Alligator mississippiensis: one gene and its partner. The protein of the gene in region 2 purifies or fractionates together with the protein of the main gene of each other region. This does not show direct contact. Links are inferred from orthologs where the notes say so. Each region holds a gene or a part of one and is shown on either strand. Other genes may lie near its edges. The genes, in order: MLST8 and RPTOR.

Region 1 (15,853 bases), on a different chromosome or scaffold from region 2:
CCGGACCGAGCATCCGCGCCACGCCAGCCCCACCTCACCTGTCTCGGAAGAGGAACTTGATGCCGGCCAGGACCACCACGAGCAGCACGGTGAGGCGCAGCAGGTGCAGCTTCTGGCTGCGCTTGAAGGACATCGCTGCGGGCGAGCGGGCAGGGAAGGGCTGAGCCGGGGGCACGGCTAGGCCAGGGGGTGGCTTCTCCCACCCCAGGGGAGCAAGGCAGCACCCCTGCAAGCCCACAGCCCCCACTTCCACACAGCAGACCCAGGCTCGGACCCTTCCCCTTCAGGCACCTGGGCCAGCACCTCCCCTCTCCCCCTGCATCCGTGGGAGGATGCCTGACCTGGGTCCCCCCCAGTCTGGGCAGTGCAGGGACTTGCCCTCCACCCCACAACTGGGCTGTGTGCTAATGCACTGCCCCAGCCTCACCTGGGCAGCTCCTACCTGGTCTGGCGCTGGCAATGTCAGGGCAGGTTTACAGAGCAGATGCCTGGCACGGAGACCTTTGGACCAGCACTCCCCATGGAGGGAACAGCTGGGCTGGCACGGGAGGGAGCCCCTGGAAGACAGGAAGGGGGACAGTGAGAGGGCTCGGCCATGCTGCACCCACTCCGGCTGCGGGCCCGGACCGAGGACAACGGACACCGCCGGGTGCTGGGGGCCGCAGCTCTGGACCTGCCCCCACGTCTGCTCTTTCCCTACCCCGCAGGAGTGGCTTCCAGAGCAGGATGCCCTCAAGCCGTCCAGCTCTGTGTGCCACGGGGACGGGTCGGGCCTCCAGACCGTGCACCAGATCCCCGGAGCGTGAGTGTGCAAAAGCAAACCCCCTCCCCACCCCCTCAAGGCTCCCCTCTTTGCTGCTTCTCCTGAGCCCTCGGCCTTCATGAAATGCCCCCGATTTGCAGAGCCCGAGCACCCACCTGGGGCTCACGAAGCACCTGGGTAGCAAGAGCCGTGCGGGGCTGTCTGCCGGCCTCCCACCACCAACCCCCGTGGCAGCAACAGCCTTTGCAGCCAGGGATCCAGCAACTGCCTTATCACCAACCAAGCACCTGAGCTGTGCGACTTCCTGCCCACGCTGGGTCAGGTGCGCCCTGGAGATACCCACGGCGCTGACTGGAGAGGGAGCGGGGAGAATGGGCGCAGCTCAGGTATTTGTACAACGCTGCCTTGTTCACACAGCAAGGGCGTGCAGTACCCCGGGAGGGGCGGCTGCAGCATGGGTGGGACACACACCGCTTTACTGGACTCTTGAAGTTGTGCCCGGAGCCCCCAGCTGAAATCAGGGCTGTGTGCATGCATGCACGCACACACGCGTGTACCACCGTGCATGCACGCATGCCTCTGTGCATGCACGCACGTGTGTACCATGCATGCACGCACACCTCTGTGCATGCACACACGCGTGTACCACCGTGCATGCACGCATGCCTCTGTGCATGCACACACGCGTGTACCACTGTGCATGCACGCACGCCTCTGTGCATGCATGCATGCACCCATACATGTGCACGCACCTCTGTGCATGCACACACATGCATGCCTCTGTACATGTGCACCTCTGTGCATGCATGCACACACACAAGCCTCTGTGCATGCACACACACACATAATCAGGCCTCGTTCCAAGTCATGAGGACAGGGGCAGAGGCAGGAATAAGGACCCAGGTGTCCGAGTCCCCGTGGGCCGCGCTGGAAGAATCCCCGGCCCTCGTTCACCCTGGAGGCACCAGCACAGCTCGCCCTGGTAGCACCTGGCACTGCTGGCTGCCCGGTTCTTTCTTCCTGCAACCTTGCGGGCCCGCTGCCTCCTTGCCGCATTTGCAACAAGACAAACAATGCCAAGGGGGACAAGGCGGATAAAACTTCCTGCAGGCTGGGAGCACGACTATGCCCCATAGCACTGAAGTGTTGCAGCATTAATTGACAATTTGGGTGTGAGCGTGTGTGCCCAGCGAGGCCGCACCCCTGGCAACTGGCTCTAGCAGAGAGGGCCAGCTGGGAGGAGGGAGGAGAGGCTCAGCCCAAATCTGTGGCAGAGGGAATTGAACCCTCCCCAGCTCCGGAAGTCTCGGACCTGCTCTGCGGGCAGTCCCAGCAGGATCCGGCCCTGCAGAAGGTGCCTCTGGGGACACGGCAAGCCTCGCTGAGTCACAGCACTTGGTCATGGCAGGGCTACAGCGGTTGCTGCAGAAATCCTGTCTCCACTAGGTCCAGCACCCAGGGCCAACCCAACCCCCTTGCCCCCGGGGACAGAAACACCCCCCGGCACTCACTGCGTCGCCGCGTCCAGGGGATCACGACATGCACCAGACGGTCGCCCGGGCCAGTGGGCAAGCAAACCCACTCGGCTTGTCCCTGCTGCCCGCAGAGCGAGCCACCGGCCCGGCCGCACCTGACCAGCGGCGCTCGCTCTCTTAAATAGATCGAAGCGACTTCAGCAGGGGAGGAAGGGAGAAAGCGCTTACACTCCTGCACGCACTACACTGCACACACACACGTGCACAAGCACAGCTCCCCCCGTCCCTGTCATCAGGCCAGGTCTGCGGCATGCCTGGGAGGGACGGGGCCCTCATCAGCATGTAGGCAACCTCGAAACCGAAAGCAAGAAAGCATCCGGAAAACTGCTGCGCGCACAGAGAGGCGGGGAAGAGCCTGAGCTGTGCCGCACGCAGCCGTGCATCCTCCAGAGGATGCTGAAGCAGAAGAGCCCTTTGTTCTTGGCTTCGGGAAGCCGCGGACACAGCCCTGCAGGGAAGTCCCGTCAGGGCACAGCAGCATTCGCAGGCTGCCCATCAGGGCAACGTCCGCACAGCGGCCCCCGAGCTGTGGCAGAACGGCGGTGGCACGACCTAGAAGCATCCTGGATTTGTGCCAGACCCAAAGCAGAAGCTTGCAGGAAAACCCACCGTCCTTTGGCCCTGCACCCCCCAGGGCCCCCGCACAGCTACACACCCAGGAGGAAGTCAGGGGCCCTGGGTGCACGTGGCCGTCATCGAGTCTCCTCCTTTGCACAAGTCCTTGTTGTGCAGCGAGGGTGGATTTACCCCGGGAGCTGCCGTCAGGGCGCTCCTTGGAGCCGGGCCACCCTGGAGCGCCAAGCCGGATGCAGCCACCTGCACGACCCCGGACCCCTGCGCGTCGCGAGAAGCCGGGGGAAGCTGCCAGGTTCAGGGATGCCAATACCAGACGTTCGCTCTGCGCCCGTTCACAGGCCTCTCTCCGTGTTTCGCCGTCGCCAAGCGTCGTCGTCAAGAGGGATGTCCTCCAGGCAGCTTTAATTAAGCCTAGTGGCCTCGACACCACTCCTGGCACACGGATCCGCTGCGCCCATTAACCAGGTGTCGCACAGTAGCACCGAGGGCTGCCAGCTGAGCCTGGGGCCCCGTGACGCTTGGTATTGTGCACGTACACACCTCCCCCCGGCTCCCTTCTCCACAGGCTGCAGGACAGACAAGACCAAGGGCGAGCAGGGCACAGCGCCTTCCAACTAACCATCCAGGGAAGGATGGTGAGAGACAGGGCAAGGAGCGTCACGGGGGCAGACGGAGCCAGACGAACCCGATACGTCCCCCGAGAGCCGGCGCTCCGGGCAGAGGAAAGGTGATCTCGTTTATCCGGGCTTGGGCAAAGCATGTGATGGGGCGCCACTGGGGAAATGATTAATCAAGAGCTGGGAGGGCAAGCAGGGCACCAAAAGGGAAGCCAAGAGCAGGGGAGTTCCTCCCAGCTCCGTCTGATTCAACATTTGCATTCAGGACCTGGGCACGAGGCGCTGCCGAAATCTGTGACCCCACGTGGCGGGACAGCAGCCCAGACCTGGGCGACCTTGAGGGCCGCGGCCGCAGAAACAGGAGCAACCCAGCAGCAATAAGTGCAACGGGCTGGGAGCTCGCCAGCTGGAAACCACCGAGGAGGAGGAGGGTCTGGGTGTGCCGGGGTGGGAGAGCCACGCTGCACGGCAGCGCATCTCCTCGACAGCCAGGGCAGTGGCGGTGCCATCGCACGAGGCCCTGGCGAGACCCTGCCTGGACGCTGCGGACCATTCACTCCAACCGTGCCCAGGAAAGGCGCGCTCAGCTCAGGGAAAAGGGGATGGTGGAGGGCAGAGAGGAGGTGAGGAGCTGGGGCAGCCCAGGGATGCTGCCGGCACCAGGACACGTGGGGCTCTGGCCGTGAACAGGCTCCAGCTGGAAAGCAGGACAAGGGGTCTCCCTTCGGGGCAGGAGGGGAGCAAAGCTCAGCCACATTTAAAAACAAGCCTCGAGCAGGTCAGCACCAGCCCTCCCGCCCGAGCTCGGCCCAGGGAACGTGCTCACCGATGGAGACGCCGGGGTATCAGGGGTGACTCGCGAGGCGAGACCTCGCCGATGCCCTTGCTGGATGGGAGCGTGCGGAGGACGGGGGTCTTTATGAACTGGGCAGGCCCTGCGGCCAGGATGCTCAGGAGCAGGGAGGCCGGGCTCAGAGCCTCCTTGCTGTGGCTCAGGCTGCACCAGAGCTGCCCATCCTTGCACGCCAGAGCTGGATCTGGATCAGCAGTCAGAGGACACAGCATTGCTCCCAGCTCCTCCCTTCGCAGGCAGCCCTGCGCTGTCCGGACACGGACAGCCTGCTGCAGACGGCAGCCCCGGGCGCAGCCACTTCCCCCCGGCCAGGACAGCGGTAGGCTGGACTTCTCCCAGGGCTGCCCAGAGAGCGGCTCACGCTGCCGGGGAGCTTGGGGGCTGATGCTCACACAGGTGCAGGGCTTTGCCAGGGAGCTTGGGCATTGGTGCTCATGCAGATCCACGGCTTTGCCACGCATCCCCCTCCCCAAGAGAAGTGCAGCCTGGGGTACGAAGCACTGGCACAGGGGCTCTATCTAGCCCGCAACCTTGCTCCAAGGCAAGGGGAGGCACGTGCGCCCCTGGAAGGGCTGAGGACGCACCGGACACCGTCCGCCAGCGCGGGCAAGGGCGCGGGGACCCGCGCGGATGGAGAGAGCAGCAAGGGAAGGGCTCCCTGGCACAAGGGGCAGCTCAGCCCAGCTGCCTCCCACTGCTCTGGGGGGAGACCTTCCTCCCCTCCCTCTTCCTTCTCCTCCTCCTCCCCAGCCCCTGCACCCCCAGAGCCTCCTGCAGCGCCGGGCAGCCTGGCCCCAGCCCCGTGGCAGGGCTGGCACCAGGACTAGCCGGGGCAGCAGCGCCCCCGGCCCCGGGGGGCTCCGCCTGCCCCTACCTGGCAGGTGCAGCCGGGCCGGGCTGGCGGCAGGGAGCACGCGCGGAGCAGCCGGAGCCGGTGGCATCGCCCCGCAGCCGGGCGCACGGAGCCGCCCAGCCCCACTCTTAAAGGGACCCGGATCGGGATCAGGGCCGGGCTGCAGCGCAGGAGGGGCCGGCGACAGCTCCCTGCAGGGCTGCCCCGGGCATCACTCACACCTGGGCAGGGGGCTGCAGTGCCCATCTCTTCTGCACGCACAGCTTTGGGCAGGGATGCCTGCTCTAGCAAAGCCCTGCCCGGTCCCTCCAGGGCTGCAGCACCTTGCACCCCGGGTGCACTGATCTTTGCAGCCCCCCTGCTCTGGCGGTGGCATCGCAGAAGGGCGCGGCGGCTGCTCATGGTCCCACCAGAGTTTGGGGGTGCCGCCGGGAACTGGAGAGGGGCGTCCCGAATCCGCGGACCAGCCGTCCTATGCCTGCTTGCAAACCGCCACCATGCTTGAACCCGCACACGTTCGAAGTGGAGAGGTGCTTCCCACCCAACCCAGCCCAGCCCAGCCCCGTGGAGCCAGCCCCAAACGGAGCATGGGCCAAGGCGAAGCAGAAGCGGGGAAACACACGTGTGGAAACATGCCTGCAGCGCGCCACCGCCTCCAGCAAACCCTCCTAGGCCTAGTGCAGCAGCCTGTTATCAAAGAGGTGCGAGTTTAGTGACAGATCGCTTTAATTTTGCATCCGTGCCGCACTCCCTGCCTCGCCGGGGCTCGGCGGAGATGCTCCGAGCGCCGCTGGCGCCACCAAACTCTCGACAGAACGATATTTTCCTGGAGAGAAATGAACGCTTCCCATGGGGACTTGGCCCAACTCGCAATAAAGCCTCTCCGATTCCAGGGGAAAGCCGTTCATCATAACACTGTCTGCACCACCGGGCGGTTGTTCCCTTCGGGAAGCGTGCTCTGAATCTCAACAGCGATACCTGTGCGCGAAGGAAAACGCGGAGACGAGGCCGGAGACGCGCGAGGGAGGGAAGGAGGGGGACCCGAGCCAGCCCTGACGGTCCAGCACCGTGCAGCAACCGGACCACACGCATCCCTTTACCGGCGCCCATTTGGAGGGCATCAAACCGCATATCCTGGGTGCACCCGCGGCTCGGACCGAAAGGCTGCAAGCTCCTAATTGCGGCCTTGGATCAAAACCGGTGTAAACGGCCGGCCGGCTCTGCGGGGGGATGCTGTTAGCAGAGATGGAGGGGAAAATGTCCTGCGACAAACGACGCCCGTGTCCCGGCATCCGCCGTGCGGCATCTTCTCGACTCGCGGCTCAACCTGGCGTTTAGGACGCCTGGGCTTTGCTCTGCGGGGCTTGGAGCCGGTGCCCGGCGAGCTCTCCGCGGCCCACGTCGGGGCTGCCAGCAACAGCGGTGCACGCGCCCGGCGCGCCAGGGCTGCAGCATGCATGCAGCACCCTGCCCAGGGGCTTCCAGCAGGGGGCAAAGGTCATGGGCGACCCCCAGGCAGCGCCCCCAGCTGGTGCAGATGGGGCCAGGTATGGGCTGTGCCCCCAGGCTGGGCATGGCTGCCCTGGGCAGCAGCCCCCATGCTTGCCTGGATCCCAGCCCCAGAGGGTGCCCAGGGCCCCAGCACCCAGGCCTGGGCCACCCCTGCCAGCTGCTGCCCCGGGCGCGGTGCACGGCGCTGCACACCCCGCGAGCAGCAGCGCCCCTTCCTGGGGATGCTCGGGGCTGCAACGCGGCACCCACTCCTCCCCCCCGCGCTTCGGCACCGCTTGGTCGCGCCCGAGACTCCGCGCATGCGCGCTCCCTCCCGCGCCGGGGACAGGGCCGGGCACCTTGCACATACGCACGCGCTTGCTGGACGCGCTCGTGTCCCGCCCCAGACAGGCACCCTGTTTCTGCGCATGCGCCTCGTCGCTGGATGGCCCTGGGGCGTGCTCTGCGCATGCGCGACGGTGCTCCATCTCCGCCCTCGTGTGTCCGCAGGTAAAGGGGGGTGCCCCTCCCCCCCACCCCGCGCGGCCTGTGGCCCCGAGACTCGTGCAGTGTGGGGGCGGGGCGGTGCAATAAGGGGGCTGTTGCAATAGGGGGTGGGGTTGTTGCAGTGGGGGGGTTGTTGCAATATAGGGGGTGCAATAGGGGGCTGGGGCTGTTGCAATGGCGGGGTTGCAATAGGGGGCAGGGGCTGTTGCAGTGGCAGTGAGGGGTTGCAATGGGGGGCTGTTGCAATATGGGGGTTGCAATAGGGGCTGGGGCTGTTGCAATGGCGGGGTTGCAATGGGGCGGTTGCAATAGGGGGCAGGGGCTGTTGCAGTGGCAGTGAGGGGTTGCAATGGGGGGCTGTTGCAATGGCGGGGTTGCAATGGGGCGGTTGCAATAGGGGGCAGGGGCTGTTGCAGTGGCAGTGAGGGGTTGCAATGGGGGGCTGTTGCAATATGGGGGTTGCAATAGGGGCTGGGGCTGTTGCAATGGCGGGGTTGCAATGGGGCGGTTGCAATAGGGGGCAGGGGCTGTTGCAGTGGCAGTGAGGGGTTGCAATGGGGGGCTGTTGCAATGGCGGGGTTGCAATGGGGCGGTTGCAATAGGGGGCAGGGGCTGTTGCAGTGGCAGTGAGGGGTTGCAATGGGGGGCTGTTGCAATATGGGGGTTGCAATAGGGGCTGGGGCTGTTGCAATGGGGGGTTGCAGTAGAAGGGTGGGGCAGTTGCAATAGGGGGGTCCGGAGCACTGAGGTCTACCTGGGTGACCTGCTGCCTGGGGTAGGCCAGGGCTCGTGCGCAGGTGTGCCTGGCACCCCTGTGCAGGAGTGATGGGGGCGGGGGGAGATGCTCACCGCGTGTGCCCTGGGTGGGGGCTGTGGTGTCCACCTCTGTTGAGCTGGGGCACTGCTGGGATCCGCACCAGTGACCTTCTTTCCAACCCCCCCTCAGGCCTCCGCCATGAACACCGCGCAGGGCACCGTGGGCAGCGACCCCGTGATCCTGGCGACCGCCGGCTATGACCACACGGTGCGGTTCTGGCAGGCGCACAGCGGGATCTGCACCCGCACCGTCCAGCACCAGGACTCTGTATCCTTCTCGCGCCTGCACGGCACGGGGCCTCCAGCCCTGGCGCCTCCGACGGGTCATGGGCTCTGGTAGGGCCGGAGAGCCCTGGCGTTGGTTTCGCTTCCCGCGTAGCCTGTCCTGAGAGCATAGAAGGGATTGCCAGGACCCAAAGTCCGGTGGGGCTGGCAGGGACCTGCAGAGGTCACCTCTAGTCCAACCTGCTGCCTGAGGCAGGATCAGCCCTGTGCAAACCATCCCAGACCGATCCATCGTCCAGCCTCCTGGCAAAGCTACACACCCCCACCCCAACACAACATATCGCACCCTAACATGCCATCCATATAGCAGGGGGACCGCTGCAGCCAACGTCCTGCTTCTGCGCAAGGTTTTAATAGCTGCTCCAGAAATCCCAAATAGAGGCCACAGCCCCTGCTACAGGGGAAGAAAGCCCCCCTCTCCCATCCGTAGCAATCTGACCGGGGGGCAGAGTTCCTCCCTGACCCCAATGCGGCGCCGGTCTGACTCCGAGCGGAGGGGCGAGACCCCCTAGCTTGGCTCAGCTGTAACGCACAGATCAGACTCTTGGTCTGAGCTTCGATCCGGGCTCTCGTCAGCAGCTGAAACCTCCCAAAAGCTGCGACGGTAGCAGCGATTGAGTCGTGTCTTTATATTGTGTGTGTGACATTTGTAGCATGTCAGGAAACGGGCCTGATGATGCCAAATTGGAGGAGACGGCGGAAGTATGGACCACAACTGAGTCTGAGTTAGTTTGGTGGGTCAAATAAAAAGGAAAAACCCCGTCCTACCTCTGCGCGTGTGCCCAGTAAAGAGGGGTGGAAAAAGGGGTTTTGTAGGACTTGTCCAAAGGTGGGGTGTTTTGCCCTCTCCTGACCATGCCATGACATTGCCTCAGACTCTGGTTTTCCTAGATTAGTGCAAAATCCTGACAGCCTCTTGCAGTAGTTTGAAGATAATCCCCGAAGTGAGGGGAATGGTGAATAACAAAGCGGACAGGCCGTGGTACGGGGCGATCAGGATTGTTGGTGAACTGGATACAGACGGGATGCTCGCTGTTCGACATGGCCAGCTTGACGTCAGGCTGGCGGGGAGGAGGCTCCTTTCCCCCTGTACCACACACGGGTGCAGCCCCTGCGTCCTGTTCTGGTGTCTGCGGCCCAAGGAGGCTGTGAATGGGTTGGGAAGGTGAAAAGATGGGCTGTGAGAGTGACTAAGGGGTTGGGGACACACCCGTGAGCAAGAAACTGCTGCCTGTTGAGCTTCAAGGGAAGGAACAGGGTCGCTGAGAGGCACCTCTTGGGTGGGCAGACCAAGGTCGAACAGGATCCGGAGGCTGGATTTGGAGCTAGAGGAACGAAGGCTAGAAACGAGGCAGAAGTCTTTGAAGGACTCACCGGTGGAACAGCTTACTGGTGGATCCTCCACCCCGAGCATCACTCAGCTCCCGGAGGGATGGTCTTCCTCAGTGATATTCTGCAGGTGAGACAAGAATGACTTCGGGGCGGTCCCTCGGCCCATGTCACCGGTTAGAGTAGAGCCTTTTGGTTCGGTCATGGGTTAAGTTGGTGGCTGGGCAGGGAATGAGCAGACACCACACAGACTGGTTTTCTGCTCCAATAAAAGCCCAAGAGAAGGGAAAATAAATAGGGGCAGGAGTCAGAGGACAAGAGTGAGGAAAGAAAAGCTGGAGTGAACAGTGTCTGGGAAAGGAGTGGGTGAGAGAGTGCAGATTCGTTGCCCCCGCCGCGTGCACACACGGTCAGTGAGCCAGAGCTGCTCTTCCTGCATCGGGAAGCAGGCCCAGCAATGCCCTGCATCTGTCGTCTCTTCTGAGGGTCCTTCTAGAGCCTCGTACCTTCAGGCCCTCTGACCGGGGCGTGGGGCAAAGCAAAGATCTCTCCGTGGTTAGACATTTTCCTTGCAACAGCGCCATCACGGCTTAGCTAAACTTCAGAGTTTGAGGAGACGCGGGTGGCAAAGGTAGAGAGGAGCCGTCAGCGGATGGTGTTGGAGGGGAAAGTGCGTAGAGCTGGAATCGGGCCAGGCCTCTGTGGGGCGGACAGAGCAGGCCGACGTGTCTTGCCGTGTTGGAGTCATCAGATGTGCTCTTTGGCGTGAAACGTCGGGCATGTGGTGGTGCGCCGAGCTTCCCTTTCCAGTCGAGATTGTTCCCAAAGAAAGGATGCCCAGTGAGAAGCCCCCGCTAGGCTGAGTTTTCTCCAGGCAGGGTGAATTCAAGGGAATGCTTTCTCCTGCTGCAGAGGTACTTGCTTGCTCTGTCAACCTTAACCAGCACCTCTAGCAAGTGAATGCTCTGGAGATCACCCCGGACCGCAGCATGATTGCTGCTGCAGGTGAGCCCTGCCCACATTCCCATACCCTAGTCGGGGGCACGCGGGGAGGAGAGGAGTGTTTGGTGGTTTCTGGCATTGGTTTCCAACTGGTGTGTGGTGACTTCGCCCTCGTGCATGCGATCCAGCTGTGGTGCCCCCGGCTACATGCTCGGACGTGCAGTTACTGCTCATGTGTGGCTCTCCGGGACTCACCTCCCTGGAGCCCCTACGAGGCGTGCGTCTGCTCTGGGACCCACAGACCCTGCTGGGCAGGGTGATGTGGGGACAGCCTGCCTTCTACCGAGGTCGGGTGGCCCTTCGCAGAGGGGGCTTTGGCCGGAGTGTCTGACACCTGCCACGTGCATCTGGGTGCTCGCTCATTGTCATTCTGGCTTCCAGGTTACCAGCACATTCGGATGTACGACCTGAACTCGAACAACCCCAACCCAGTCATTAATTACGATGGCGTAAGCAAGAACATCACCTCCGTTGGGTTTCACGAAGATGGCCGCTGGATGTACACGGGAGGCGAGGACTGCATGGCCAGGATATGGGACCTGAGGTACCCGCTGGGGCCGGCACTGCTCCATGGGGGTTCCCTCCTGGGACGCATCTCCTGTCTCCGTAAGCCCTCTGAGCCGTGACCGTAGCCGGCAGCCACGGGGCAGTACCCAGCTGGGAGACCTCCAGGGGGGCCACTCAGAACGAGGGGTTCAGTGTCTTTCCTCTGAATCAGTATTGCACCGCTTCTGGTGCTCAGAGGCTGCTGGCCGGTGTCATGTGGATAAGCAGGAAAAGCCAGGTCCTGTCCATTTGTGATGTTAAACTATTCCCTGGCACTTCTGGTGTAGCCCAGGGGTCCTGGCTGGTTTGGGTGATGGCCTTCTGCCTCCCTCCAACCCCTTTGGAAGTTGCAGGTGGGGCGGGCAGGCTTCACCTCCAGCCCAGCGCCCTTGCATGCAGTGAGCAAGCCCTCTTCAGCACCTGCAGGGGCGGCAGGGAGCTGGTACAGGCCCGAGGGAAGCAGGAGATCTCATTGCAGCCGCTTCTCTGACTCTTCTCGTTTGTGTTCATTCTGTTGCAGGTCACGTAACCTTCAGTGCCAACGTATTTTCCAAGTGAATGCTCCTATTAATTGTGTCTGCTTGCACCCTAACCAGGTAAACGCACACTGTTCTGCGCTTGCTAGGCTCGGGGAGGCTGCTACAGATGTTCTGCGTCTCCCGACTAGAAACCTGACGGGCTACATGACTGGCAGTCATTGCAGAACATTGTTTTTTCTAAATGGACTTGTTTTCCACTCTGACAAGACTTGAACTTGCTAGGCTTGAGCTCCTGTCTCGGCATTAAGTACCAGACACGGAAGTTGGTCAAAATTGAAAGAGTTTCCTATATCCGGCAGCTGAGAAAACCCCCTGAATCCGTGCAGAGAAGGGTACCCTTGAGTACGGGCGGGTGATGGAAACTCGTGATTGCTCGGTGCTGCTCCAAGCACTAGATGGTATCACTGTGTGTGATTCTGTCATTTATTACCTGAGCGCCTTGCCTCTGGGTCCCGTGAGAGTATCTGCCTGTTGACTTAGGTTGAACTGAGACCTTGGGACCTGCTCCGTGGAAGTGCGTTCCCTCCCACTCTGCTTGCGAATGCAAAACCTCCCTTGGGCGGGAGGATAGAAGAAAAAGGAACTGAGAATATAGTTTCCCTTTTCAGTCTTAAAACAGGATTGCCCCTGGATTCTTTCGAGGACAGAGCGGCATAAACAGATCTACAGATCAGTCCCTGTTTCTTGTAGCAGAAATGTTTAAGTTGCACATGCTGCAGTGTGCTTTAATTCCTGTTACTATTGGACTAAGTGCCCCTAATTCCTATAATAAGGGAAAACGGAATTGGTGTTGTCTTTTGCTCAGCTCAGTGAAAATCGTCCCTTCGGCTTCCCTTCTGTCGCACAGCTCACTTGTTGCTTTCACATCCTTACGTGCCAGCCCAGCGCTGCAGCATCTGGGCTGCAAACAGTGCAGCGAAGGATTGATGCGTCTTGCAAAACAAGCTGTTCCTCTTTTAAGAGGACAAGCTGTGGAAATGCTCCTTTGGCTTTAGGCCTCATGAGCGCTTTAATTTTGGAAGACCCATGTTTTACTTTAGATCAGACATGACCTTTGCCTCATTAGCGCTAACAGTTGTGCGGTGTCGGCACATCAGGAAGGCTGCATGTATCGGTGTCAGCTACGTGCAGGAGTTTTGCATTTGAGAACGTGGCCAAGCAGACACTGCCGTGTTACGGCCTTTATTCTGGAGTGAATCGGACTGAGTTGGGGATACCTGTGCGGGGTGTCGTCAGCCTGAGCAGCTCACAGCTGCTGTCAAGTACTGCCAGGGGTCGTTATAAGTGCAGTGACCTCTTCTGCAGCTGTGTCTACATGTACTAGGAGGGGGCAGCCCCCTCTCAGGATTCAGGGTGCAATCAGCATTGCAGGTGGCCAGGGAGGGACCTCTGCCCTACACACTGGACTTGGGTATGTTTTGGGCAGTGGTCCTCTTTCTCCAAGGCAGGCTGTTACTCACTGGTGGGCACAGGACAAGACTGATCCATGGTCCAGTGCAGTGCAGCACATCACATTAACAGCAATATTGCTGGTGCACACCACTGATAACAGCCACAGTCTTAATGAAGAGAGACAGTGTTGTGTAGTGGTCTGAGCACATGACTGGGAGCCCAGGCTCCTAAATTCCAGCTGCGGCTCTTGGTTGGATCTGCGCCCTGACTGAGAAAGTCACGTAGGCCATAAATGCCAGAAGGATCCATTGAGTTAGAAAGCTTCCATTGCTGGGTTTTCAGGGGTGCCAAGCGTGGCTGGCTTTGGTGGGTCTCAGCTGTAGTCACAGCTGCTGGACAACTCTGGAAATTGGGCTCAAGCGTTCTGGAGCTGGGCCCAGAAACTTAGTGTACACTTCTGAAAATGCCTCCCTGGTTCAGTTTCCCTGTCTGTAAAATGGGGATAAGGCTTATTTAGATTGGATCTGCAGCTGCTTGCACATTCTTACCACGCTGCAAAGTGCCGTCGTCCTGACGACTGTCTGGGCAGAACAGGCACATCTGGGCCAGACCGATGGCTGCACTGGATGCACTTAGGTGCAGGCACTCTCTGCACCGCCTTTTCTGTTTCCTAATTGCAAATTGTGACTTGGTGCTTTGCAGGCTGAGCTAATCGTCGGGGATCAGAGCGGTGCTATTCACATCTGGGACCTGAAAACAGACCACAACGAGCAGCTGATTCCTGAGCCAGAAGTTTCTGTCAATTCGGTTCACATCGACCCTGACGCCAGTTACATGGCGGCTGTCAACAGTTCAGTGAGTCCGACTGGAGCCCTAGGAGAGGAGTAGCCAGGGCTGCAGCAGTTCTGCCGTTCATCCTGTCGCAGGCTTCTCGGCACGGCCGTTGCACAGAGCTTGCTGCACGCTGGGGCGGGAGGGGGTGCTTGTGGCTGGTGCCTGCGTCCCTCGTGCCCCTTGCGGTCCAGCCTAGCAGCCAGCTCCTCTCTGTCTGCAGGGGAACTGCTACGTCTGGAATTTAACCGGTGGCATTGGGGAGGAGGTGACTCAGCTCATCCCTAAGACCAAGATCCCGGCACACAACCGCTACGCTCTCCAGTGCAAGTTCAGCCCCGACTCCACGTGAGTGCTGCCAGCTCGCTGCTCTGCCCCAGCCTTGAACAAAGCCGGCCTTTCAGACCGGGTCTCAGGAGACCGACGGGGCCCCCAGCTGCTGATGCAGCTCTGGCTTCGTTTCCTCCTCCCAGCAGCAGGAAGCGGAGAAGGCAGCAGCTGAGCGATCAGTCTGGCCTCTCGCCTAGTGCCCGGTTGTTGCTTCGCGAGTTCGGCATGGGTAGCACGTAGGCTGAGGAGCAATGCATTGACTGCTCTGAGCCCATAAACCTGGCCTGTCCTTTTCTCAGCCCTGTGCTTCACAAGAGGTGGGGCAAATAGTAGCCCTTCTCCTCCAGCATGGGGGCTAGCCTGGGGGGTCTGCGGCTCCTGGCCAACTTTGCTGTCTCTTTCTGGGCCCCACAGTGTGTGTCACGTTTCCAGAGCCACCGCGGGGAGCATCCCATGGTAGCAAGGAAATGAATCCTGACCACGCTCCTACATCGCTTCCCTCCAGGCTCTTAGCTACGTGCTCTGCAGACCAGACCTGTAAGATCTGGAGGACTTCCAATTTCTCACTAATGACAGAACTGAGTATCAAGAGTAACAACCCAGGGGAAACCTCCCGGGGCTGGATGTGGGACTGTGCCTTCTCTGGGGACTCGCAGTACATTGTCACCGGTAAGATACTGGGGCCCCCCGTGCAGCTGGCTGTCGAGCCTGGATGGGGCCACAGGGTTTGCTGGTCTGTTGTGGGTGCCTGGGGATTTGAAAGGCAGATTTTCCCCATCAACTCCCAAAGGCGCCTGTGGAGCTGGGAGGTGGATCCCTGTCCTTCCCCTGCTCTGAGCAGGGGTTGGACTAGATGACCTCCTGAGGTCCCTGCCAACCCTCACTTGCTACGATTCTGTGAACACACGTGAGCTTGTATGGGCACACTGCTCTGCTGCGTGTCCAGCTTAACTCCCTTTGTGTGTGGGCATGTGGCACATCTGCCATGTAATAAACTGACTTTACTGCATCATAGGGCTGGAGTGAGCACCCAGTGCACAGCCCAGGTTCACAGCAGATGGCTCAGGTGGAGGGTAAACATACCACTCAAGAAACGTGCTGCGGCTTCACTACATGGGAAAGTTACTGCCTGGTAAAGCAGACAGACAACGTGTTCTGCGTGGTAAAGTTACTCCAGAGTAATATCCAGGGTAAAACTCTATGCAGTAACAAAGGTAGCGTCTGTGTCCGGCGCCATTGTGCCTCGTCCTTTTTGTAGCAGGGAATCTCTAGACCCGTGGGGCGCACTGTGTTTCATTTGGTGGAAGAGCAGCCTCACATCTAAATGGCCACGTGGTATTTAGCACTGCATCGCATATCCCTCAGGAATATCGGAAACCCGGTTCGGGCAGACGCACACCGTGATACAAGACTCCCTGCCCTGTCTGCCACTGCCCGGCGCTCTGGTGCACTGGGCTAACGAAGCAAGGAGCTGGGATTCTTTGCAGGAGAGAATGGGCAGGCATATTGCATTCAGCCTCTCCTCGTTTACCATTCCAGCTTCCTCGGATAACTTGGCCCGGCTTTGGTGTGTGGAGACAGGCGAAAT
Region 2 (15,674 bases):
TATATATATATATATATATATATATATATATGCCGCTAATGCATCAGAAATTTATATATATATATATATATATATATATATATATATATATACACATATGTATATTTATATATACACACACACACACATGCGCACACAGAGTGTGTGTACGTATGTGTGTGTGTGTGTATCTATCTATCTATCTATCTATCTATCTATCTATCTATCTATCTATCTATCTATCTATCGGTATATATAAAACCAGCCCTGTTCTGCGTCACTCCCACTCTGGAGTTTGTAATATTGCCCTGGCAATGAATAGTGGTATCTCAGATGTGGACTGAACCTAGAAATGCTCAGAGAGCTCGCAACCACTGGCCTGAAGAAGGTTTTCACTATCAGAGAGCCGAGGCTACGGGGACCGAGTGCTTGACCATCCTGTGTTTGAGTAAATCAAATTGCTTTCATGTCAGCCACAATCTGTGAAATCAGGCATTCAGATGAAGACAGGGCCCTGCTGGCCTACAGCACGTGTGCCTTAGAAAGGGTGACTTGGCCACCTCGGCAAGGAGGACTGGCAGAGTAAAGACGCACACACACACACACACACACACATTATTTCAGCTTTGATGTTTACCAGATTTGGTCTGTTCACGAATCCCCAGTCATCAGTTTGCTCCGAGTAAATGCTCTGCCCTTTTCATCAGGCATAAAAGATAACAGGTATTCAGCACTGTGATTATGCCATCCCAGCCAGGTCTAGGGAACCATCATAACCTTGGCGGCACGCCTGCTACTGAGGCTATTGGTGCCCTGAGTATTTCTCCACTCAAACTAGCTACTGCGTCCTGAATTGCACTGGCACAAAGACCAATGTAGGAGGCAGCATGTCTCCTGTAAGCTGGACTGTCCGTGACTCGCCTTGCTTTGGGGTATAGGCACATCTTTATTATGTCCTCTCTGCCCCCAGCCCACTCCTAGCAGAGGCTACCTTTGTAGGAGGTATTACGTGGTGGGGTTGATTATGGATGATTTAGGGCCTTTATGGCTGTCAGAGGAGCCTCAAAGAGCCTGACAGTACCAAGGATTTCGCTCGGCCTCAGAAGCAGCTGAAGTTACTCATAACGTGGTTCTGCTTCAACACTCAGTGCCTACCACGAACCAGAAATCAGCAGGTCTACCCAGGGCCTAATCCTGACACCCTAAACAAGCCAAGCTAGGAGGATTTAGACAGGGTAGCTACGAGGGAACTGATGGGGAAGAATCTTCCTCCCCAAGCTGGAAAGAGGATCTGAGGCTTCCTCTGGTCAACCTACATCCAGATACGTCTCAGCACAGGAAGGGAAGTAGCAGGCAGAAACCCGACGCTCTCCTCATAAGCACCTAGCTCTGCAGTGCACGTAAACCTGCCGGCAACACCTGGTTTCCGGGTTGCCCGTATGATTCCTGCTGCTTGCACTCTCCTATGGGGTTGTCACACCAGGCCTGCCTCTCTGTGGGATTGTTCATTTCCAGCAGCACAAAGCAAATGCTAAATCACAACCGATCCTTGCGTGGCACAGGAGAAAGTGATTGCACAGGTGGGAAGGCCTTCTCCCAGCCAGTTACTCTAAAGCAGAGTGTTCAACCTTTTGGTTTAACTTGTATTTTCCCCCGCATGGCCTGGGGCTGTTAGACTGGCACAGTGAGAGAGATGAAATACCTTGGCTGGACTCCATGCTGCCTTAGACCTGGAATAGCAGGAGAGGCAAACAATAGCAAGAAAAGATGCAATTAGCCTTAAGATGCTTTGGCAGAGCAGTGTGGACCTGGACTTGGACTGCCAAGTGGAGAGCTTCAGGTCAAGACTGAGCTCCACTGGCCAAGAAGTGCTACCAAGGGAGACTGCAGGTCATGACTAGCAGAGCTGTGTGAAAGGTGTCTGCTGACAGCCTGCCTTCACGGCGTCTGTCCCTTGTCTGGGAAGTCAGGTCCTTTGTTCAGCTGCATTTTGAGGTTATTTCTTCAAAGAACAGCAACCCGGGGTTGCATACTGATCTCTGGTATTTTCTTGTCAGTTCATTTGTCTTGGCTTTCTTGCGATGCCCTGGCTTGCTGAAGGAAATCCAGCTCTCACACTCCTGGGGACAGAATGGGCATATTTATCTCTAAGTCTTACACATCCCCCATATGTACAGGTAATTACTCCTGAGAATTTACTCTAAGTAGGATTTATGTTTCCACAGATGTGGTGTATAAACAAGGGGACAGACATTAGGTTTGCAGGGAAGAGCATTGCTAACACATGGTTGCACCATATGCTGAGTATGGATTTAAGAGACCGGAGTTTTATTAAAACGGGATATTTTGAATGTCTACTGTCAGGTTGTGGAGCAATGCTGACATGCTGCAGGCACTGCTTATTGTGCTCTGTAGCACATGACCCAGTTCCACTGCAGAGCAAAGCTGCAGGAGAACATTTGAGAACAACGGGGACGCATCCAACAGGCAGAAGCACCCATCAGGTTGCCAGGGACTGATCTGAGCTGCTTTTTCCTGTTGCACATTTGACAGCAAGTGGAGGCTGAAGGAAAAGCTGTAGAGACGGGTGTGTGTACCACATTTGCTTGCATATGTATGTATTTATAGGCTATTCTCCTAGCCTCTTCACCCTCATACATGTCTCACAAACACTAATGCATTTACCATCACAGTGAAGTGGGGAAGTGGGACTCTCCCCCATTTTAGACACCAGGAGCAGGCATGTGAAACGTGAACCGTGCATGTATGCAGACACCACTTGGACAGATGATTATCCAGGAGTGGGCGTTCATGGAGGAATGAAGTAGAAAAGGTGAATGTTGCTGTTATAACTGGGGAAAAAGACGTGCTACTGTTTGACAGTGACAATTTGAAGGTATTGTTTGAAAGTCATAGACACAGGCTCACGGAAGAGGTGCTTTAAAATTACCATTATTGGGGAACCTTTAAAATGGCCTGTCCCTGTAGTGAATCCATTTATATTCTCCAGTGTGGAGTGTAGCCAGAGGAAAGGATGCTTTCATGCTGCGTGGAGGGAACAGACGGAAGTATGACAGGCAGTCAGCCCGCAGGCCATGAACAGGTTTGATTTCAACACCAGTGACATTGTTAGCACCTGACAAATAATTGGCTGAGCCTGTGAGATGTGTACACTTGCCTCGATGGCATTCCTCCCTGTTGTTTGGATATTTGTCTTCTGTACAAAAGGCAGCAAGTCTGGAGTGATGCAAGTGATCGCATCCAAAATGTCAAGGGATAGTCTGAGCATTGAACAGCCCTGCTAATTGTTCTGGGGAAAACTGGCAAACCCAAAAGAGGGGAAAGGAGACACAGAGATCCTGGCATCTGCTTAGCACATCCACCGCTTCAAGCACCTCTGCAATTGTACATAGATCAAAGAAATGGCTGATGGCACCAATTAGTGCCTTCCAGCAGAAAAACACCTCTAGCTTAGCTCTGATCACCTCCTATGACAACACCTGCGTGTCTTATCTCCTAAAAAACAGAAGAGGTAAACAATAATGGTGGGGAAATGGGGAGGAGAAGGGAGGCATTCCCTGGCTGGTTGGGGAGGAGGGGGACACTGGCATGGACGGGAGACGGGAAGGGTCCCTGGCATGCGGGGACAGTTGGAGGGCTGTAGTGAGTCCCTGAAGAGGAGGGCGTTGTGAGGGTGACGCACCGAGGGCTTGAGAAAGGAGGGGTCCATGGAGCCCCTGCCATGCACAAGCTGCTCAGGCTGCAGAGAAAAGTATGTGGATCCTGGTAAACCATCATTTCTTTTAAGATCCTGGTGTGGCAGAGGTGCCAGAGGGGCCTCCCTGCACGCTCCCTGCCCCTCTGGCAGTTGTGCTCTTTGGAGGCCAGCTTTCCCTGCACGAATGGGAGCAGATGACAAGAGCTCTCCGCAGAGTCATTGACTTTGGGATATGCTCCCCGAGCAGGCTGTCAGGATTTCGGATTATTAACCTTCAGGGCACAGTGCGCAGCCCATCTGTTCATTCAGGCTTTTTGCCTGAGGTGGATTAGTTGTGCTGGGTGCTCTAGTTGTGATTTTTCAGGTACCGTCTTGAGACGGTTACCCTACTGCCTGCAATTGTATTATGACGGAAGGTAATCTGGCCGCACTGGGTTCTGATTTAAATGACAATAAAAATGCAAACATAACGTTTCATCGTGCCCTGACAATTAATTAGTCTTTCAATTGCATCATGACCACAAACCAGCATTAAATAGTCATAAACAAATGAATGAACTCAGAAAGCCAATTAATCAAAGCAATAAATCTCCCCCTTTAAATACCCCAGGGACCTAGGTTTTTTAGGGAATGTTTTTGTTCCAGCCAGTTGAGGGCAAGATGATGTTTCATCTTTTAAAAATTGTATTTGATGACTGCAAATGCACTTGGAATTGTAGGCAAAGTGCATATGGCTTCATATATCAAATTATGCAGATGGATACAACTCAGATGTAAACCTGGGTGCGCTTTGATTGAATTGCCACCCGGGGAAAACACTCCGATAATCAGGGCTGAATAGCCCCATTCTTTATTCTGAGTTTTGAGTATAGTCAAGCTGATGATGAAGGAACAGTTTTGAAACTCTCCACCTGGTTTTCCTCTCATATTTACTGGTGTAAATCATGAGGAACTCTGCTGAAGTCAGTGGGCCACTGGCTCCGTTCCCCTGCACTTTGTGCAATCATTTGCATTGGTGCAAAGTGAACGTAACAGGTGCAAAATGCTGTCAGATCAGATTCATGTCGTGTGCATTCTTGCTGCAGTGGTGTAGGGCAAAGGAGAATGGGGCCTGACAGGGGGATGCTGGTGTGAAACTAGTTAAGGCCAGTGACTTGAAATTATGGGTTTAACTTTTAAAACTCGCTTTAAGGTAAAGATCATCAGGAATATCTGGTGGGAGGGCAGCTGGTCAGGAAGGTTTGGTCTGCTGTGGGATTAGTGCCTAGGCAAGACTCAAGTAAATCATGTGCTGCCTTTGTGTTTGCTCCCAGGGCCCCCATGGCAATCATCGAGCCTGTGTACTCTGTGTTCCAAGGAAGCAATATCACGGGAGGAATGAGGAGGGCATTGCATCAAACAGCTGCTGCCAAAGAGGCTCAGACTGAAAATGCATCTTGGCGGGACAATGACCAGGAGTGACTTAAAGGCCCTGTGAGCTGACAGCCGGTTTATCAGTTTGGCAGATTTATTAGAATTTCTGTAGTTTCTGTTTCTTTCCCTCACACCCGTCCTGAGAACAAAGGAGACCTCAAGGTCTTACTCTTTCCTTCCACAGCCCAAGACACGATCGTAGGCTTGCCTTCTTTTGCGCGTTCAGCTGTTTCATTATGTTATTTTTTGCATTGTGCATTGCAGAAGCCTGGATCATATGAATGTATTCCAACCCAGTCAACCATCTCAGGAGCAATATTAATGCATGAGCTTAAATCTGAGTGTTGTAAATCTAAACTACACTTCAAAATGCACCTTGCTCCCGCTCAAAGGAGTGCGTTTAGGGAGCAAACCCGCTCTTTTTGATGCACAGCTTATAAAAAAGCAATGCTTTAAAAAGTCCCTCATTTCTACAATTGCAGGGACCTTCTGGTTTCATCACAAAAATCCAGTCTTGTGGTGGGAATCCTTCTGGACTCTGCATTTGGAGAATACTTTGTCCCATGGGAATAAGCATTGCCATGATGAATCCCAGCTACACACCTCCAAAATACCGTTTGTATCTGAGAAACTGATCATTTCCCCTTGACTAAATATAAAGCAAATTCCGTGTCAGAGAACTTGAAGTGCTACTGGTCCTTGGCTCCAGGCTCCACTGCCCACCCCACGAGCATGTGCCGTGTGTTTTCCTGACACAATTCAAAAAACAAGGATTCATTCCTGTTAGCATTGTGTTTCAGACACATGGGCCCAAATAGTGTAAATCAGTGCAACATCCATGGAAGGAGCTGTACCTATTCACATGAGTGGTGGATAGGGCCTTTACACATAGCAATAGGATCCCTAGTATTGCTGCTTTCTCTTTCCTGAACAGTGTGGAATTAAGCTCCTCAGCCAGACGTAGCTGGTCACACTAATACTCTTCTCAAAGCTGTGCTGACATCAAAGACCTTGGTGCTCAAAGATGATTTGGTAGATGAGGGATTGTGCATTAGAAGTAAACAATTTAGAACAAAATGAATGCAGCAGCCATGACATGCTTTGTGTCTAGCCAAAATGAGGAAGGGAAAATCCCCGGTGTTTTCAAACAAAAAAGGACAACATTGGTAAGAAAGAAAGTGAACATGTTTGAGTAGAAACATAACAAATGGATACTGATTAAAAGCTGTTTAAAAATTATTTCAGTCTGTGTGTGTGTGTGTGTGTGTGTGTGTGTGTGTGTGTTTTATTGAGTCTTGTTCACCTTTTCTTGTTCACCTATATCTACTGGTCCTGGTTTCTAGAGCTGTAACTTCAGTGGGGCTGGGACTGTCTTTTTCTTCTGTATCTGTACAGTGCCTGGCACAGAGGATGTCTGGTTCCTGACTGGTTTCCCAAGCCGGTCGCTCCTGCCAGTCAAATGATGACTGACGATAACAAATATTGTGAGTTTATCCTCGCCAGCCAGGCCAATGAGCCATCCAAGGGAGAGTCCCCTCTTTAAAGCGTTGGCTAGACTAGTAGCTGCTGCATGACATTTGCATTTAAACCCACCATTATAAAGGACTGTACTCGCTTTATTACATGGATAAAATGTACCCCTCTGCCAGAGGCCACTCAGTCCTGCTGCAGCCTTTGAGCTTCGTGGGAGGTGCGGAGTCCATGAACAGACTCGACGGCTGGCGGGTCAGGAAAGCTGTCTTCACGCAAGCAGCACCAGAGATGTGCACGGCTATTACTCCCTCCAAATTACACCAGATCATCGTAGCCTCCCGGGGGGACAGCTGCTCGCTCTCGACTGCCTTCAGAGGCTGGCATAAAAACACTGACTCGTGGGGAAGGCTGACTTGGGGAAACTGAGGCTGTGTAAAAAGCAGAACAGCGACTGCGCCACCAGCCCCAGCACCTTTCTTCTCTTCCTGCCGCATGAGACAGCGCTGTGCCCGGTTCTCAAATGGGGCGCTCGTGTCGAAGCACTGCTGGCTGGGGACGCATAGCGGGCTTCAAGCGGGGGGAAGTCTGTATTTGAAGGCCTATTGCAATGGCTCCAGTGTTGCCAACTCTCAGGCTTTTTGGTGTTGTTCTTAAAGTCTACGCTTCAGGAATGTGAAAAACTTAGCTTTCTTTTATATATATATATAAAGAAAGATAAGTTTTTATATATATAAGAAAGTTTTATATATAAAAACTTAGCTCTTTCATATATATATATACACATACATATGTGTGTGTATCTATCTATCTATCTATCTATCTATCTATCTATCTATCTATCTATCTATCTATCTACACATGCCAGAAAGTATATATACACACACACACATATCTATCTATCTATCTAGATGTGTATATGTATAAAAGAGATAAGTTTATGTATATAAGAAAAGTTTGTCTATCTCGAAACTTGTGTCCCCGCCGGCCCGGCCGAGCCCGCTGGTGCTGTTGAGCCCTGGGCTGCTAGAAGGGCGGTGGAGGGGAAGGATGCTCCGGTCGCCATGGCAACTGCGGTCCTCTCCTCCCTGCCTGGCCCGAACGCGGCGTGTCCCGCGCGCCGGCCCGTAGCCGCGCTGCATGCCGGGCCTTCCCAAGATGGCCGCCCCCGTGTCGTGCTGCTGAGGGGAGTTTCGCCGCCCGGCGCCGCAGGACAACTCCCCCCGCGTGTCGCGTCGCAGCAGGGGGCTGGGGCCGCCATGGGCCGAGCCCGGCAGCTGGCCGGCAGCGCGCGGGCCCCGCGGGGCTAGAGGCGGCGGCGGGAGGCCCCGCTCGGAGCCGGGGCCCGACCAGGCCTCAGCGCCCCTCCGGGAGCATCCCCACCCCCCCGGCCTGCCCGCCCCACGGTGGAGGAAGGGCCCGGCTCGTGGCCCCCGATGGAGCCCGAGATGCTGCAGTCGCCTCTGCTGGGGCTGGGCGAGGAGGACGAGTCCGACCTGACGGACTGGAACTTGCCCCTGGCCTTCATGAAGAAGCGGCACTGCGAGAAGATCGAGGGCTCCAAGTCCCTGGCGCAGAGCTGGAGGATGAAGGACAGGGTAATGAGGGGCTGGGGCAGGTGGGAGAGGGCGCAGGGGTGTCTCGGCCCGTCTCGCCTCGCCTCGCCCGCGTGCCGGCACCCGTGGGAGCGTCTCTGCGCCGCAGCCACGAAACACGGGTGCTGACAGCCGGCGCGCTGAGCGCGGGCGCCTCTGCCCCCGGGGCCGCAGCGACGCAGCAGAGGGGTGCGAGCACACGGCTGCACGTGGCTTCTTCCTTACGGGGGAAACGGGGGTGTTCCCGCGCAGCCCGGCGAGGGGCTGCCTGGGCACCTTCTGCCCCCCCCACACTCACCCCTGCCCCCCACATGCACAGCCCTGCCCCCCAATACCCCTGCTCCCCACACACACACCCTTGCCCCCCCACCCCCTGCCCCCCCACATGCACACCCCTGAGCCCCCCATACCCCTGCTCCCTACCCACACCCACCTCCTGCCCCCCCACATGCACAGCCCTGCCCCCCAATACCCCTGCTTCCCACACACCCTCCCCCTGCCCCCCCACACACCCACCCCCTGCCCCCCCACATGCACACCCCTGAGCCCCCCATACCCCTGCTCCCTACCCACACCCACCCCCTGCCCCCCCACATGCACACCCCTGTCCCCCATACCCCTGCTTCCCACACACCCTCCCCCTGCCCCCCCACACACCCTCCCCCTGCCCCCCCACATGCACGCCCCTGCCCCCCACACACCCTGCCCCCCCACATGCACACTCCTGCCCCCAACACACACCCACCCTCTTCCCCCACACGCACACCCCTGTCTCCCACCCACCCCCTGCCTCCCACACTGGGTGGAGGGCACCGCGGTGCAAGGCCAGGGGGCTGCTTTCTACTTACATGATTTATAGTGGTGCACTGATAGAGATTTTGGGAGCTGATACCGATAGCTGATTTTTAAGGAGGCGTATCGGCTCGTACCGATCCGCTTTCCGATGTGCTTGGAGAGCTGCGTGCAGCTGGTAAGTCTGTCTCAGTGCACGTCTAATTATTTGCCCATCCATGTGTACAGATGGGTCCTGGTACAAAAAAGGTCGTGAACCATGGTTTTAAACAGTGCCTACGAAAGCAGCGCTTTTGTTAGGAAGGAATTTAAATTAGTAAGGTCCTAAATTAGTAAGGTCCTTGAAATGGAGCTCTCCAGGTCCCTGGGTTTCTGGTGTGGGCAGAGTGCGCAATAAACGCAGGCTTTCTGTTTTGTGAAGTTATCCAGTGGCTGATAGGTGCGTGGAAGGCTTTACTCTCTTTCCAGTATGGTCCAGGGAATATGGACAGTGTATTCTTCCCAGAGTAATACGAGCTGAGTGTTTAAAAGGTGGAAAATGAACTGTTAGATTCTCAAGCACTTTCACTTGTCGGGGCAGATCATATTCTCTTGGCTGAATCCACTAAGCATAGTACCAGGTATTACACTGATGTTTCTCTAGCTTGTATTGGGTAACATCGCAGTTAGCAGGAAACCTCTGGGATGTGATTTCTGGTATCTCAACTTTTCTGGTTAAATGTTAAGCCATCAAAGGTCAGGATGCCTTGGAAGGGAAAATATGAACCTGATGTACTGATAGCCCCTTCTGTGATCTGTAGACTTCCTGAGGTCTTGTAGGCATGCTGCCCTTTCCTGTGGGTGAGCAGTGGCTGTCTCTCCCAATCCACAACCATCTGAGGAATTAAAAAAAAAAAAAAAAAGCAAAAATTGCTGAATGAATATTATAATCTTACAAAACGTACTGTAGGCCATTCTGATGTAGATAAAAGTAAAAAGACCTTTTGTTTCCTAATTTCTTTGGTGCTCAGATAATCCATTTGTGGTGTCCTTCTTCGTAATAATCTTCTCCAAATGTCCTTTCTCATACACTGATTTCTTTGTGGTGTTTAGCTGACTTATTTTTTACTCCTGTGCGTCATGTGAATGTCTGGGGTCTGATGGAGATTGGGGTCTTATTGCCTCTGCCTTAGAGATTACAATGGACAAGGTGGACAGTGGGTAGCAAAAATGGAGATAATGTTCAAATAGAATAGATGCTAAAATGGTGGCAAACATCACATTAGTGTGATAATATTTTTGGATGGGGTGAGTAGTAGCTGGAAGGGAGAGAAGTAGAGAGAGAGAAAGAGAAGGACGTAAGAGGTAGATGTCAAGTGAGGCTAAGGGAGGGTCCTAAGTAGTAGCATAAGTGAGAGAGAAGAGGAATAGGTTATCCTGGGTCTCCGTTGAACATGCTTCTGCAGCAGCTCTGTCTCTCTGTGTTTGGCTCTTTGCTGCAGGTTCTTTCCCAGAGGCCAAATAGTTGGGGATGAAGCAGCTCTATATAAAGTTCAAATGCAGACTTGGAGAAGGGATGGTCCCAGCTGAAGCTGGTCTCATCCCCTCCCTTTCCCATCTCTTGCTCCCCACAACGGTTGACAATTCCAGGTGCAACAGTCCTTAAGCTGGACTTGCAGCTGCCCTTTTGTGCTTGTTAAACACTGCATTATACTTTTAAGTATGTGGGTGTTAACATCATGTCCTGCTTCAACTTTGATTTATACTGTATTGTGTATTCAAATCAAGAATAAGAAGATCTTTCTAGTTTTAACTACATATACAATTATTTATTCCTTGCCTTAAATTGTTGCTTTCTGTTGTTGTACACTGTTGAATATTTGTAATGTTTCATCGTGGAATTGACTTCTTCAGCAGTAGATAAACATTTATATACAGATTAATAAAAGACGTGAAGCACTTTGGGATGGAAGACACTGTCTGAATGCAGGGTTGTAATGCATGTCATTCAGCAGTGCTTCTACGTTTCTCTTTTTGTCCCTTCACAGTATCTGATGAAGGAAGCTCTCTGCTTATGAAAGCTTATGCTATATGTCTCATTTCAGTTAGTCTGTAAAGGTGCAAATCTACTCTACCTGCTGCCTCTCTTTCTAACATTCATTTTTAAATAAGGAGTCTAATTGTCCCAAGTTAGCTATCTAAATAAAGAAGATTAAAAACTTTTACAGTCAAGGATTAATGCTGCTAAATTTTACAGAATGAGCGTGAGCTCTCAGATGCTAACTAAATGGTCTACTTATTTGGGCTTCTCGTGGGAGAGCAGGGTTACTGCTATTTTTTTTTCTGATCTCTCCTCTTATTCCCACTTATCTTTAAAGTCTTTATGCAAAAAAGATTTTTCAATCAAAGGAAAATGGATTTCCCTCATTTTCCAAACCAGATAGTCTGGAATTCACATTTTTATATGGCTCTGAGAAAGGCAGACAACTTTTTTGTGGCTTCTGCCTTTCTGGCCTTGATGCCCAGCATGGTACTTGTTTCCACTTCCTGAGATGAAGCAGCCAAAACAGGACATTTACTTGCATGCAGGGCTGATTCTTAGAAAACCCTTCCTTTCATCCCTTTCTTTTAAAAGCTGCTTGGATATTTTCATGGTGGAATGCTTCTTACACAGGTGTTGGATAGTTGGAATATCAGACATAGGAGCCTCTTGTGACACTGAGTCTAGTTCCCTGCCTTGGCAGGCAACCACATCACATAATCCTGTGTATAAATTAACCAGGTTCCATCTTATAAGTGGTTAGGTTCTGGAGCAGCCTTCCAGTAGGAGTATTTTGGGAAGAAAGACCAGTTTAGTGACTTTTTCATTTCCAGTCTAAGTTTATTTGTGGCCACGTTACCCTGACTTATTTTTTGTTGTTAACATCCTTTAGCTTAAACGTTTCATTTTCCTCTCAGATTTTGACCCCCTAAATATATTTATCTAGAGCAATCCTTTACCTTCTTAGCCTTTTTCCCTCCTTTAAACAGTGCTGTCCTTGCACAGTGTTCATACGTGTGCTCAATAATTGTGTCCTTTGCCAAACTTACCAGTGCATCTTTATGGAGAGGCGTTCTCAGTATGCCAGGTATGAATGACGTAAGCCTTTTTTGCATTCCAAAGTGCAAATCCAGATGATAGACATACAAAAAAGTAGAACTCTTGGTTCCAAAATGATACCTTTTATTAGACCAACTGGAAAATGCCAAGAAAACTGTCTTTTTCTGCAAGCTTTCGGGATCAAAGTCCCTTCATCAGGCTCTGACAAAGGGACTTTGATCCTGAAAGCTTGCAGAAAAGGACAATTTTCTTGCCATTTTCTACTTGGTCTAATAAAAGGTATCATTTTGGAACCAAGAGTTCTACTTTTTTGTATGTCTTTTTGTCTCAGACCAACACGGCTACCAAGTCCATCCAAATGATAAGCACTATCATGCAAGTTCCTGCCAGGTGCTGGGAGCTGAAATTGTTCAAAGGCATAAATACAAGACAAAAGGTATACATAGCAAGTATGAAAGTAAGCTGTGTTCATTAGGGGGATGTGATTACTGTTATAAGGCCTGAATCTTAAATTTGTTTTAGCAAAACAAAACTATTGAAAGCCCCCCAATTCCAAACAATCTTATCAGTTCTCCACAGAGGGTGCATCTTAGGCAAATTTCACATGTGTGGCGGGAGCAGGGCTTGTCACCGCTGGTTTGTCATTAACTGAATTCCTGAATGTGTAGGTTGTTCTTGTCAGTCAGCTGTGCCTGTCTCCTTGATTCCTGTGTGCAGGCAAGTTAAGAAAACGCCATGAATCCTGACCTCCTGCAACCCCTGCAGGCAAGACTCCTGAGAAAACTGGGAAAAGTGGGGCATAATGGCTTGCCTGCCCCTGTAAACCAGAACACGCAGCTAGTATGTCTAAATCTGTGTCTACCAATATTGTCATGTGCTCTCTAATGAAAGACACTCTGTAACATTTAACAGCAGAAGTCTAGTGGGGCAGTTCCAAGTTATGAAATTAAAGTAATTGCTAATCTAGAAGGGGGAAAGGAGACTAAAGATATTATTCAGTGTAGAACATATTTTTTATTTTGTGACATTTCATATTTGTACAAGCAGTTTGTAAAATAAAGTGATGGAGATATTTTTAGTTTAAGGTTTGATGGCTTAGGAGTGACAGTTTCTGCTCCATTTCACCTTCTTGGTGGTAAGGTAGCACATAAACAAGAGACTGAACGGCAGTGGGAACTGATCGGTTTTGCAGTAGAAGCTCTTTCCAAATACCAGTTCTTGCGTTTCAGCAGCGCATTTTGTAAGAAGCTCATACTACCTCTGTCTGTGCTATTCCAGGCCTGTGGTTGAACGAAAAGACTTTGGGTTCTGATGCTGTCAACTGAGTACCTCCCATGAGCCTTAAAATGAAGAATCTGTAAAAATGGACCAAAAAAGACTACAGGAAATTACTGCATGCACATGTCCATTTGGAAAAGGTTATTGACTTCCTGATGAAGGCAGAAGTCTGTAGTTCTTATGTAATTAAGAGTGAAAAGATCATTGAAATGTGAGCATTTACAAAGTGATGTTTGTGCAAAGAGCCTCTGAAAAGTCAAGTGCATTAGTTAACGGTTCATCACCACCTGCCAAACCTTTCAAGAAGCTTTGGAAATATTTTTTATTTGAGTTTTTTCTCCTTGGTTAATTCAAACTGTTTAACACATCTACTTCTGTGTTTAGCAGCAACAACTATGTGAACATTTTGTCTTACCAAAACATTTGTGCACAAGTATCCTCTCTGAGAACAATGTAATGCTGGAAGTGGAATATGTCAATTAATTGTTGAAGGAACACTCAGTATTTGATTTTCAGATTGATGGATAACAAGTTACTGTTCTCAAAGCCAGAAGTCTCATTGTTCTGCCAGACCAAGTTTTCACCTAATAATGAAATAGACATTGAGGCTTCAAGATCAGAACCATTGTTAAATCTGGCAGAGAATGCAGTCTTGTGTATCTTGACAGAGGAGACAGTCCCTTTTGTACTGAACTAAGGGCATGAGGATCCTACACCTCTCTCTTGTTAAATTCACGTTGGCTGGGGTTCTTTGGAGCTTTGAGCTGACCTTCTTTCTTGGTCTACAGGGCTGGATTGCCTTGACCTAGGGGTGAAACCAGTCCGATTGAGTCATCCAAAACCCATTCTCTTCAACTTACAGGTTGTGCACAAATGAGAGTGGCTGCAAATACAGGTCTTTCTACCTTATAAATAGGACCACCTCTTATCAAAATGGAAGGCGTGGTTTTAATAACTATCGAAAAATAGTTGATTAATCTTTAAGGGTCAGATTCCATCATCCTTCCTCTCCTGGAATGGCCCTGTCTTCTTCCCTAATGATCCTCAGTGATATAGATAGAGCTTTTCATGGGGAAGGTTGTAACTCATGCACCAGCATGGCAATAACCAAGCCTGGGTAAACTTACCTCCAGAACATTAATCGATCTCTATGTCTCTGTGTTTCTGTGGAAGAGAGGAGCAGATTTTGAATTCTCAGTTTAAGTAGCTGGTTTTCTGAACTGTGTGTGTTGTTGGTGCAGCTACAGTGAACTTTGCCACTTTTTCCTTACCTATGGGATGGTTTGCGTGTTGATGGTGTCCCTGTGTGTCTTGTTAACTTTATCTTGGACATATCTGGCATTCTTGTGTGAGCTGCTTTCCTGGCTTGAGGATGGGGGTATATGGATATAAGTGAGCAGTTAAAATACATGATGATTTAGGAACTGTTTATCTTCTCTATTTCTCTCTTCTCCCTCCATTATTAAGAGAAGGTATCAGGATTTCAGATATGTTTTAGACTCTTTTTTTTTTTCCATGGCATTAGTTGTCCCTCAGCAACCAATTGTGATATTTCAGATGCTAATTAGGACTTTGAGTAGTGAATAAGAACCAGGAATGGATCTTAACCTGCCAAGTACTTTACGATTCATTAAAGGAATTGACATTTATTAAACATTCACTCATCCCTTTCCATCTAGCTGACTGAAGTCAGATACGTCCTGGTAAGTTATAACATCATATAATCTATTTTGACCTTGCAGTGGGTGAACAGCAGTGGGGAAAAAAACCAAAAAATCAGACCAGTTCATATCGCCAGGAAACCGCATAACAGTCAAGGCTTATTTTCAGATATGCTACTAGTGTATCCAGAAAAGCAAGTGCCTTTTATATGATGCAGAACACTGATCTTTATGTTTTCTATATAGCACCTTTCTTATGTGAAATGTCGTGGGGTAGTTAATGTACAGATGGGTTTAACCATTAATGCTTAGTAATAACTCACATGAGTAAACAGGCTTTGGAATCTACTTTAATGAGAGGGGGAATGATGGTTGGGAGGCTCTGGTTCCCCAGGCTCTAGTACTTTCCTTTTTAAGAACCCTAGGGAATCTTTAGGTTCCAGCAAAGCAAAAAGGAAATTATCTCTTAACATTTTCAGAGCATTGTGAGGCCAAATGCAAAAGAGTTCTGGGTTTTGAATTCAGTTATGTGTAGGTAGTGCACATTGAACCTTCAGCTTTATTTGGAAAGAATCACTGGAATTACAGGTTGGGATTTCCAAAAATGCCTAAGTGCATTAGGAGCACAGGTCCTATTCACATGTGCTATGACATGCAGTCTTTTAAGTGCAAATGAAAATCCCATGCCA

The links.
Region 1: the proteins of RPTOR (region 2) and MLST8 purify together in Homo sapiens (affinity purification with western blotting; 15 studies listed by BioGRID and IntAct, with this or other methods). This does not show direct contact. The link is inferred for Alligator mississippiensis from reciprocal best matches to the Homo sapiens genes RPTOR and MLST8.

Annotation. Positions count from the first base shown.
Region 1 is NC_081836.1:57,908,853-57,924,705, forward strand, and holds the start of MLST8 (target of rapamycin complex subunit LST8), read left to right. Parts: upstream 1-8,150; coding exon 8,151-8,279; intron 8,280-8,313; exon of another isoform or gene 8,314-9,755; intron 9,756-10,537; exon of another isoform or gene 10,538-10,578; coding exon 10,579-10,630; intron 10,631-11,008; coding exon 11,009-11,171; intron 11,172-11,693; coding exon 11,694-11,769; intron 11,770-13,806; coding exon 13,807-13,959; intron 13,960-14,158; coding exon 14,159-14,283; intron 14,284-14,770; coding exon 14,771-14,934; intron 14,935-15,804; coding exon 15,805-15,853. Other genes in the region: hexosaminidase D, read right to left, coding at 39-133.
Region 2 is NC_081831.1:1,244,069-1,259,742, forward strand, and holds the start of RPTOR (regulatory-associated protein of mTOR), read left to right. Parts: upstream 1-7,727; 5' UTR 7,728-8,016; coding exon 8,017-8,178; intron 8,179-15,674. UniProt on the Homo sapiens protein: Component of the mechanistic target of rapamycin complex 1 (mTORC1), an evolutionarily conserved central nutrient sensor that stimulates anabolic reactions and macromolecule biosynthesis to promote cellular biomass generation and growth.